3 linked regions of the Sus scrofa genome follow. The protein of the gene in region 1 interacts with the protein of each later gene in a pairwise test. Links are inferred from orthologs where the notes say so. Each region holds a gene or a part of one and is shown in the gene's direction. Other genes may lie near its edges.

Evidence for each region. The genes of interacting proteins can lie anywhere in the genome.
Region 2: the proteins of KIF2A (region 1) and FAM13C interact in binary tests that used the Homo sapiens proteins (3 or more experiments, as listed by UniProt). The two-hybrid records come from large-scale screens. The link is inferred for Sus scrofa from reciprocal best matches to the Homo sapiens genes KIF2A and FAM13C.
Region 3: the proteins of KIF2A (region 1) and LARP1B interact in binary tests that used the Homo sapiens proteins (3 or more experiments, as listed by UniProt). The two-hybrid records come from large-scale screens. The link is inferred for Sus scrofa from reciprocal best matches to the Homo sapiens genes KIF2A and LARP1B.

The regions. Positions count from the first base shown.
Region 1 is NC_010458.4:41,068,983-41,072,482, forward strand, and holds part of KIF2A (kinesin-like protein KIF2A), read left to right. Parts: intron 1-267; coding exon 268-368; intron 369-2,262; coding exon 2,263-2,358; intron 2,359-3,500. UniProt on the Homo sapiens protein: Plus end-directed microtubule-dependent motor required for normal brain development. May regulate microtubule dynamics during axonal growth. Required for normal progression through mitosis. Required for normal congress of chromosomes at the metaphase plate.
Region 2 is NC_010456.5:62,642,822-62,646,321, reverse strand, and holds part of FAM13C (protein FAM13C), read left to right. Parts: intron 1-330; coding exon 331-541; intron 542-1,988; coding exon 1,989-2,127; intron 2,128-3,500.
Region 3 is NC_010450.4:96,838,943-96,842,442, reverse strand, and holds part of LARP1B (la-related protein 1B), read left to right. Parts: coding exon 1-87; intron 88-399; coding exon 400-540; intron 541-3,500.

The DNA.
Region 1 (3,500 bases):
TCTCCCATTCAGAGATCTTTGATTCTAAACCAAGAGATGGCATGTATCAGTATGTTAGAGTCATTTTTCTTGACTCTTATTTGTATATTGTCCTTTTCCTACTTTTGTTAAAGCAGCTCATAAGTAAAATTCACATATTGTTATAGGCATGTTTTGTCACTGTGTACCTTTTTTTGGTGTATGTGGTAAAATGACAAAATTTTTGTATGTAAGTGCACAGTACTCTAAAAGGAAACTATACTTTTACAGCTCATCTTTTTCTTTCAGCACGTAGAAAATCTAATTGTGTGAAAGAAGTAGAGAAGTTACAAGAAAAACGAGAAAAAAGGAGACTACAACAGCAAGAACTTAGAGAAAAAAGAGCCCAGGTTTGTAAAAGAAACACTTTGTTTATGCACCAACCAAAGATTAGGCTGTTTCAGTGAAAGTGATTGGCTTATGAAAAATAATTGTGGCATTCATTTAAAGATTTCAATATGGTTCCTTAAATCGATATTGAAAAATAATATAAACTATTGGGGAAGTAACTTATCATGACATATTTTCACTACATATGCTTTTCAAGTTTTAGTGGGTATGTGTTAGTCCTAAAGCTTACTCCATTTTGAATATTAAGCCATTGTGTTACAGAACTCTGATGGAAGTATAACATCAAGAATAATAGGATTTGGGCTTTTTAGAAGATCTAAAAACACATACAGAAAAAATACCCAGTTAAAGTGTATGGTTATACTATAAATTTTTTAGTTGTTTTTGCATGGTTAATAAGTTCAACATACAATGAAAGGGTGGAAATTCATTGTTTTGACTTATATTAAATGTTGACTTATACTAGGTGTTGTGTTCCTCCTCTCACGTTCCCTTTAGATGGTAGAATTTTATTAGCAACGGAAAAATTGCATAGAAGACTGGTCTTTTTATCCTTCTACAGGTCTTCACATATTAGAAATTCTGCTCTTGTACAGGTGATCATCCATTGTGCTTGCATTGTATCTGCTATATTCTTAGAACTTGTTTCTTGTAATAAAACATCAGGATCGTTTCCTTATTTAGGAGTACGTATGTTCAGATGACCTTAATCATAAAGATGTCATGTTGTAAAACTGTGGAATCCATATAATATTCAACCAGAATAAATCAGCTTCTATCTGAAAGTGACCTGAGAATGATCAGTTGAGTTTTGAAATAGTGCACAAAACAGATAGATCTGCTGCTACTTAACAAAGATGCCACCTGGTGTTTCCTGTGGGTACTTTATAGTATTTTTTTTCATCTTTGTGATCTCTTCTTACTTTAATTCTGCTTCTCACTTGACATAGTTGGTATTATTTCCCAGAAGTTTAATTGAAAGTAAGTTATATTTACAATTTTGAAATTTTATTGTACTCAGCAAATCTACATATAGTATATGGAAAAAATCTGGATTAAAAAAATTTTTTAACTACTCAATGAATTTATTACATTTATAGTTGCACAATGATCATCACAATCCAATTTTATAGGATTTGATAATTTATTACTCGTGGCTTGGAGATGCCACAAACTTTTGCTATTTGTATCTTAATCTGAATTTTCTCACTTTTGGAGCAAAAAGTAAACTGATGCTAGTGTTCAGTAATTGAATTTTAAAAATTATCTTGGCTTTTGATGCTTTAAATTCTGTGTCCTATTGATTTAGGAATGTTTTATACCATGTCTTAGTTTTTTTGTTTTTGTGTGTGTTTTTTTTTTTTTTTTTTTTTTTTTTTTTTTTTTTTTTTTTGAGAGAGAGTCAGTAGACGCTGGGAATGAACATAAATGAATCCATAGTTCTACTTTGCTGGAACATTGAATTAGGAATTGAGAAGAATCTGACTAAATGAGGTTTCTCTAAGTATTTCAGCTTTTCTAGAGTTCTTTGTTAATATTTAGGATGAGCACTCTTTCTATTTTACTCAATTTTCTAAGATAATTAAGGTATATGTATAATAGATGAATATTTGAAATAGGTTGAGTGGCCTTGATAAGGAGTATTTGGTTTGGAGTTAACAGAATGCATATAGACTAGCAGAATTGTGTTTCTAATATGAGAGTGATTCCTGGGTGTATTATTAATCTTAAATTCTGGAACTATCACATCTCCAGCTTGAATTTGGACTTGGCTGTTACAAATGACACAATTTATTAGCTTGAGTTTAATTTTCAAACCATACAATATAAATGCAACAAATACTACATTATTGTAATTACAATAGATGATGTGTTCTCTTTTTCTTCTTACAGGATGTTGATGCTACAAACCCAAATTATGAAATTATGTGTATGATCAGAGACTTCAGAGGAAGTTTGGATTATAGACCATTAACAACAGCAGATCCTGTAAGATTTTTTGCAAACAATTACCTGGAACTTTTTATGCTATGAATAAAAAGATGTTTAAAACCCTCTAAATTAATATTGTCTTTAGCTCTGTATTTTTTCTTCTCCTTATTAGTGCTCCTCCATATTTTAAGAAAATCGAGAAATCCATCCACATTCACCCTTGTTTCCAATGATTTAAAATGTTAGACATGCTTCTAACTTTAATTCTGCTTCCATTTCAAAGCAAAGCCTCCATGTGCTTGGTAGGGCGGAGCCACAGTCAAGGAGTGATGTTAGAAGTGTTGAAAGACCCAGTTTCCTTTCTGACCATCATTTATACTTTTATCTCAATTCCAGACTTATTTCCTCTTTGACTTGGGCTGATGATCCTACCATCAATCCAAGTTACTACTAATTAATTTATTATTTTTAAATAAATGCTATTCTGGCTTTTAACAATAAGTGATGATTGTTGAGGACTGCTGTAGACCAGAAATCTAGTGCTTGAAAAATGTTAGGTTGTCTTATCATGCAACCCCTTTCCTACTGAACAATGAGAACTTATTGTACAGGTAATATTTTTGTGAGTAATTCATACTTAGGAAAAATAATCTGTCTGACCTAGCATATACGGAATGTATGGAGTATACCAAACACACTTGTGTTAGGCAGACATTATGTCTGATTTAATAGAATAGTTCATGAAATTTGCATCTCATGTACTTTAGTCCTTGCTACTCCTCCATTTATTTAACCTACATCTGAGCTCATTCTTTACCACAGTGAGCGGCAAAATCTATTTGAAAAGGGCCAGATATTTTAGGCTTTGTGAACCAAATGGTCTTTGTTAGAACTACTGATTTTGACCTCTGTAGTATGAAAAGCAGCCATAGGAGTTCCCGTCGTGGCGCAGTGGTTAACAAATCCGACTAGGAACCAGGAGGTTGCCGGTTCGGTCCCTGCCCTTGCTCAGTGGGTTAACAATCCGGCGTTGCCATGAGCTGTGGTGTAGGTTGCAGACGCGGCTCGGATCCTGCGTTGCTGTGGCTCTGGCATAGGCCGGTGGCTACAGCTCCGATTGGACCCCTAGCCTGGGAACCTCCATATGCCGCGGGAGCGGCCCAAGAAATAGCAAAAAAAAGGTCTACAAACAATAAAGG
Region 2 (3,500 bases), on another chromosome or scaffold:
CTTATGGAAATAGTATGAAATAAAGAAAGTATTTTTGTAGTTGTGTCTATGCTGATGCTATAACTCATACCGAATTAATTTGTGTTTCCATTTTGTGTGTGTGTGTGTGTGTGTGTGTGTGTGTGTGTGTGTGTTGGCTTTATCATATTTTCTATCCAGGTTCTGTGAGAACAAACATGACAGTATTTTGAAAGGCTTTCATATCCCCAGAAGGAAGAAATGACAAAAAGGCAAGACATTGTAATGAATGTTTATGATCTTTTTTAGGAACATGACAGTCTCAAGCCCTCTGTCTCTGCTGAGTCTTGATGATTTATCTTGTTTCCTCAGATTCTGTGCCAGGCCACAAAGATGGGCAGAATGAAGTTGACAGTGCGCCTGAAGACCTCCAGTCTGTTGAGACTAGCAGGCTGCTCTACCACATCACGGATGGTGACAACCCACTGCTGTCACCGCGATGCGCCATCTTCAGCCAAAGCCAGAGATTCAATTTAGACCCTGAATCAGCCCCTTCTCCCCCCAGCACTCAGCAGTTTATGATGTAAGGAAACCTTGTTCTGTATTTATCTTTGTTTTGTGCCATTTTTCAAATACTACGTTTATAAGCCAGAGTGAAGGGTATATCCAAAATAGAGCAAATGTGCCTACCGAATGCACATGCAGCCCTGAACAATGAATGGAAAAAAAAAAGAAAAAAGAGTGTGTTTTCTAGTTGAGAATGCTGCTTCAAGCCTTTCTGTCTCAGGAGGAAATGGTCTCAAGATAACAGGCTCATGTATTTGAACATTTTTGGTGAAATGAGCAGAATCCTAGGAAAATGGATGTACATGCAACTATCAGGAATATCATTCTTGATGTGCTCACTAAGTAGTCTTAGTGACTACTCATTATTATTCTTGATGTGCTCATGTCTTTCCATGTCCAATGGTGGCCTTGATGGCTGGATCGTAGCAATGCTTGGAAGTTGTCTTGTCTCAGTTTCTTCTTAGATTCTAGAAAAGTGGTAGCTCTTATAGCTCCTACACACACACATATTGTGAAACTGTTTTCTTGTTTTTTAAGTTCCACAAGTAGTTCTTTCTTTTCTTTTCTTCACTTGTGGCAAGTAGAAGTTCCCAGGTCAGGGATCAAACCTGCAACACAGCAGCGACCCATGCCACAGCAGTGACAATGCTGGATCCTTAACCTGCTGCACTGCAAGGGAACTCCTTTTTAGAATTTTATTTATTTATTTATTTGACATGTAGTTTTGATGCATAGCTAAAATGAGTCTCCTTCAACTGGAAATATGTGCAAGGAATTTCTAGTTTCTCCTGAATACCTCCTGGTATTATTTGTGAATTTATGCAGTCCTGGGTCCATGGACTGTCTACTGATGGACCTGAGGGAGTGAGTGAGTTATAACTCCTGTAAAGTCTGTCCTCTGAGAAAGTGAACACATTTTTCTGGCAAGGGGGTCCATTCCTTTCAGCAGATTCACAAAGGCTCTGTTACAAGAAAAGTTAACTACTCATCTAAAACTTCCTTGAAAGTGTCTCCAAGCTTGAGGAAATGCATTTCCTAGGCTAATATTCTGACGTCTGTAGACTGAAAAGTCCCTGATAACATTTTCCTGTTCTCTGATCAGGAGCTTCCATTAATGAGTGGATGCTACTCATCAAATAGTGACCTGGCCTCTGGACCTCGCTGTTAATCCAGGAAGCTGGCTTTGTGGACCAGCAGCAGGGTTTACTGGAAGACCGTTTTTTTTGTTTGTTCTGTTTTTCATTTTTAAAAGTTTTATTGAAGGATAGTTGATTTATAAGATTGTAATCATTTCTGCTGTACAATCAAGTGATTCAGTCATACAGATACACAATTCCATTGTCTTTCAGATTCTTTTCCCACTTAGATGATCACAGAACTTTGGGTAGAGTTCTTTGTGCTATATAACAGCTCCTCAAGATCAACATTTTTGGTGATTCTTTCCCTCCCTATAATCATCACAGGCCCCGAAGTTCTTCACGGTGTGGCTGTGGTGAAGGCAAGGAACCACCGACCATTACTCAGCTCACCAAACATATCCAGAGCCTCAAGCGGAAAATTCGGAAATTTGAAGAAAAATTTGAACAAGAAAAGAAATACCGGGTAAGGACCCTGTGGTTTGAAATGAGTGGATTATGGCAGAGGTGTATGGGCTTTCTGTCCTTCCTTTTTGAGCACTTCTCTGTGCTAGGGGATGGCTAAGTTTCCATTGGCCAATGAAGGACCTATCATAACTTGAGTGTCCATCCTGAATCTGTCTTGTTCTCATGTGCTGTGAACTGATCTCTGCTAAGGTGCTTTCTAGTAACAAATTCTAACTCTTATTTCCAGGCTATGTGATTATTGATCCTTTCTTTCTTTCTTTCTTTCTTTTTTCTTCTCTGAGGAACCTATCACTAGTACTCCTAGGACTGAAATTTGGGAAGCTTTTGAATGAGCTCTTACTTTTTTTAACATTTGCATTTTGATAAGAGCCTATTAAGGACCCAAAAGGCAGAATCTCTTAATTGTGGAACAGAGCGAAGGAGAGAGAGTTTTCTTTGACAATAAAATACTTTTTGGTTGATTGATGAGGACATATCAAGGGATGTCTATTCACACCACTCATAAGAACAAACCCTGATCCACCCTTTCCAATCAGAGAAATACTGGGCTTCATGTTGGGGCTGTAGTGTTGCTTTTCTTTTCTTACATAAGAGACAATAGAGTCAGAGGCAAGTGTACTGATGGCAAATGCTAGTTTTATTGATTTTATTTAATGGTGACCATGGCATAGAGAAAAATTATATCCATGTAGAATTGCACAAAGATATTGGCTCTTTGGCAGAGGGCCCAGAACAGTTTGTTATGAGAATAAAAGAACAGGGAATAATGTCTCATAGATCTTGAAATAATTAAAGGCTCACTAAGCACTTGGTGCAGAGGCAATCTGCAGGTCCCTGTAGTGTGAATAGGTTCTAGGGAGGGAGGAGAGAGTGGGTAACATTCCACTCTCCTGTTCTTCCTGTTCTGTTTTTCCCACAGTGGCTTCAATTTCACTAAAAGAGGAATTTCAAGGAGTGGTTTTTCAGCTTTGCAAAAATGTAAAAAAAAATTAGATTGGCTTCCCAGACAACCTTAGGGCATTGAAGATCCTTCTCTTCCTTGAGGTCAATCACAGCTCCTTTCTGTCTTTAAAAGCAAGAGGGCATTCCGCATATTATGAGGATCGGCCTTTATAGTACAGATGAAGAAACAGAGGTCCACCAAAGATGTATAACTTTCTTAAGGTAGTTGTGTTGTGTCAGCTAAGGCTATGGGTTCATGTTAAAGATGGGTAGGTTTTGTGGATTTCCTTTTGTGGCTCAGCAGGTTAAGAACCCTACATAGTATTCTTGAGGATGCAGGTTCAATCCCTGGCCTTGATCAGTAGGTTAAGGATCCTGTGTTCCTGTGGCTGTGGCATAGACTGAAACTGCAGTTCTGATTTGACCCCT
Region 3 (3,500 bases), on another chromosome or scaffold:
GCAAAGAAAGCAGAGAAACAAAATTAGATGGTCCTGGTGAAAATGTCAGTGAGGATGAGGCTCAATCAAGTAATCAACGAAAGAGAGGTTAGTGTATCTGCATCTTCATTTTGATTTTAAATTTTTGAAGAGAGTTGTAGTAATGAAAATTGTATTTAATCAGTTGACTCCTGGTAGTCACCAATGAGTAGTTTGGATTTCTTCAGGATACCATCTACAGTGGTATCTGATTTGCTTTTGTAACATTTCTGAAATCTTAAGCTTTAGTCTTTTGTCTTACAGTCTATATAAAGTAAAAATGGATTGAAATTCCACCTATAGAAATATAGATATATCCTTGGAAATTCGTGTGATCACTATTTTTTTGTCATTAAATGATTTTATTTTGTTTTCTTCAAGCTAATAAGCACAAGTGGGTACCACTCCACTTAGATGATATAAGACCAGACAGTCAAGAAAGACCAGGGTCCCGCAATAGCTCAAGATGTCAACCTGAAACAAATAAATCATCGCATAACAGTAGGAGAACTGATACACGAAGTAAGTAACATACTAAGAGAAAAGGGACTAATTTAATCTTAATGCTTATTATTTTAATAACCAGATATAGTATAAAGTGTTTGAGAGTAAATTACAGACATTGTGCTCCTTTAACCTCCAATACCTTCAGAGTATATAGTATAAGAACTACACTATGCCTGTCCTCAGGCAAAATTTCTCAATAATGCCCTTTACAGTGTTTTTTCTCCTCTTCTTGGATCTAATTTGGGATCACACATGCCCTTAATTGTCTTGTCTTTTAGTCTCCATTCATCTGGAACACATCTGCTTTTATCTGTATAACATTGATTTTTTTCTGAGGACTGTAGAACTATTATGTGGTAACTACACTTTGGGTTTTCTGATGTTTCCACTTGATTGGATTGGGTTATGAATTTTTGCAGGGGTACTACAAAAGTTAAATGGTTTTCTTTGCAGTGCATTATTTGAAAGTATACATGATATTGGTTTATCTTATTATTGGTGTACTAACTTTGAGTACTTTGGTCAACATGAGGCACTCTAGGTTTCTTCATTGTAAAGTTAATCTTTTCCCTTTTTAATTAATGTGTAAGCTGTGTAGAGAGATTTTGAGGCTGTGGGAATACCCATTTTTCTCATCAAACTTTTCAAATGAGTTTTAGTTTCCATTGATTTTTTTTTTATTTTTTTTATTTTTAGGGCTGTACCCACAGCATATGGAGGTTCCCAGGCTAGGGGACCAGTTGGAGCTATGGCTGCCAGCCTACACTACAGCTTATGGCAACACCAGATCCTTAACCCACTGAGCGAGGCCAGGGATCGAACCCGAAACCTCATGGTTCCTAGTCAGATTCGTTTCCATTGCACCACAGTGGGAACTCCCCACTGATTGTTCTTGTTCTTGCCTGATTCAGTTTTTACCATGATTGTTACAAATGGTAATTTGTCTTATTGCATCATTCTTTCTATATGTATTAGTTGACATTCCACTGTGGAGAATAACTTCCTCTTATTAATCAGTGTGGACTAAAGGCCATTTATGTTTTCAGTGATTGAAGTTGTTATTACAGTTGTTTTAACTTGATGCTCAAATTGTCCCAGAATTGTCTAATGGGAGCCTCTTCTAGGTGATTTCTGGATCCTTTGCCCTCCCCCCACCCCCTTTTCCCTTTTCTGGTTGCCCCGAGACATATAACGCTCCAGCCCAGGCAGGAATCAGATCTGAGGTGCAGTTGTAACCTAAGCCTCAGCTGTGGCAACACTGGATCCTTAACACACTGTGCTGGGCTGGGGATTGAACCTGCATCCCAGCACTTGCATGACACTGCCAATCTGATGTGCCACAGTGCGACAGGATTGCACTTTTTTTGTTTATGATATATGTGCACAGTGCGACAGGATTGCACTTTTTTTGTAAGTCAGCTTTACTGAACTAATAATTACATGTATTAAAGTACACTCAAAGGAACTGTCAAGTCTCCAACCATGCATCTACTTTCTGTCAGTTTAGATTTATCTTTTGAGAATTTCATGTAAATTGAATTATACAATATACGTTATATACTCTGGTGTTCATTTGCACAGCATAATCATTTTCACATTCATCAGTTTTATTCTTTTTTAAAATTTTTAATTTTAATTTTTTGCTTTTTAGGACCACACTTGGGGCATATGGAAGTTCCCAGGCTAAGGGTCGAATCAGAACTGTAGCTGCCAGCCTACGCCAAAGCCACAGCAATGCCAGATCTGCGACCTACACCACAGCTCACAGTAACTTGGTTTCCTTAACCCACTGAGCAAGGCCAGGGATCGAACCTGTGTCCTCATGGATACTAGTCAGATTCGTTACTACTGAGCCACCATGGGAACTACAATTCTTTTTTCTCCTAGGGCTGCACCTGTGGCATATGGAAGTTCCCAGGCTAAGGGTTGAATTGGAGCTGTAGCTGCTGGCCTACACGGCACAGCCACAGCAACTCTGAGCCGTGTCTGTGACCTACATCACTGCTTGCAGCAACACCAGATCCTTAACTCACTGAGCAGGGCCAAGGATCAAAATCCCATCTTCATGGATATTAGATGGGTTCTTAACCCACTGTTGCACAACGGGTACTCCTATTTTTAATTTTTAAAAAAATTTTTAGGGCTACCAGTGCAGCATATGAGAGTTCCCAGCTAGGGGTCAAATTGGAGCTACAGCTGCTAGCTTACACCACAGCCATAGCAATGCAGGATCCAAGCCGCATCTACACCACAGTTCCTGGCAATGCTGGATCCTTAACCCAGTGAATGAGGCCAGAGATCAAACCCGCATCCTCATGGATACTAGTCGGGTTCATTTCCACTGAGCCACAGTGGGAATTCCAGTATTATTCTATGTATTAGTAGTTTCTACCTCTTTATTGCAGAGTAGTTTCTCCCTCTCTCTCTCCCTTCTTTCCTTTCTTTCTTCCCTCCCTCCCTCCTTCCTTCCTTTTTTTTTTTTTTTTTTGTTAAAATTGGTTGGCCTCACCCACGGTATGTGGAAATCCAGGGCCAGGGATCAAATCAGAGCCGAAGCAGTGATGATGCCACATAGTTGTGCCGTAGGACACCAGGGAAGTTCCAAAATAGTTTCTGTTGAATGGATACACCCCTTTATCCATTCATCTGTTCATGGATATTTGGTTGCATCTAGTTTTTGGCTGTTATGAGTAATGCTGCCGTGAATGCTTGTGTACAAGTCTTTGTGTGGGCATATGTCTGGAGCAAACATCTAGGAGTGATTGCTATAGGTAGTACGGTAAATATATATTTAACTTTATAAGGAATTGCGAAATTGTTCCAAATAGGTTGTACCATTTTACATTCTCACCACCAGTGTTTCTTTTCTTTTTTTTTTTGTCTTTTTGCCATTTTCTTGGGCCGCTCTCACGGCATATGATATGGAGGTTCCCAGGCTAGGGGTCAAATCGGAGCTGTAGCCACCAGCCTACGCC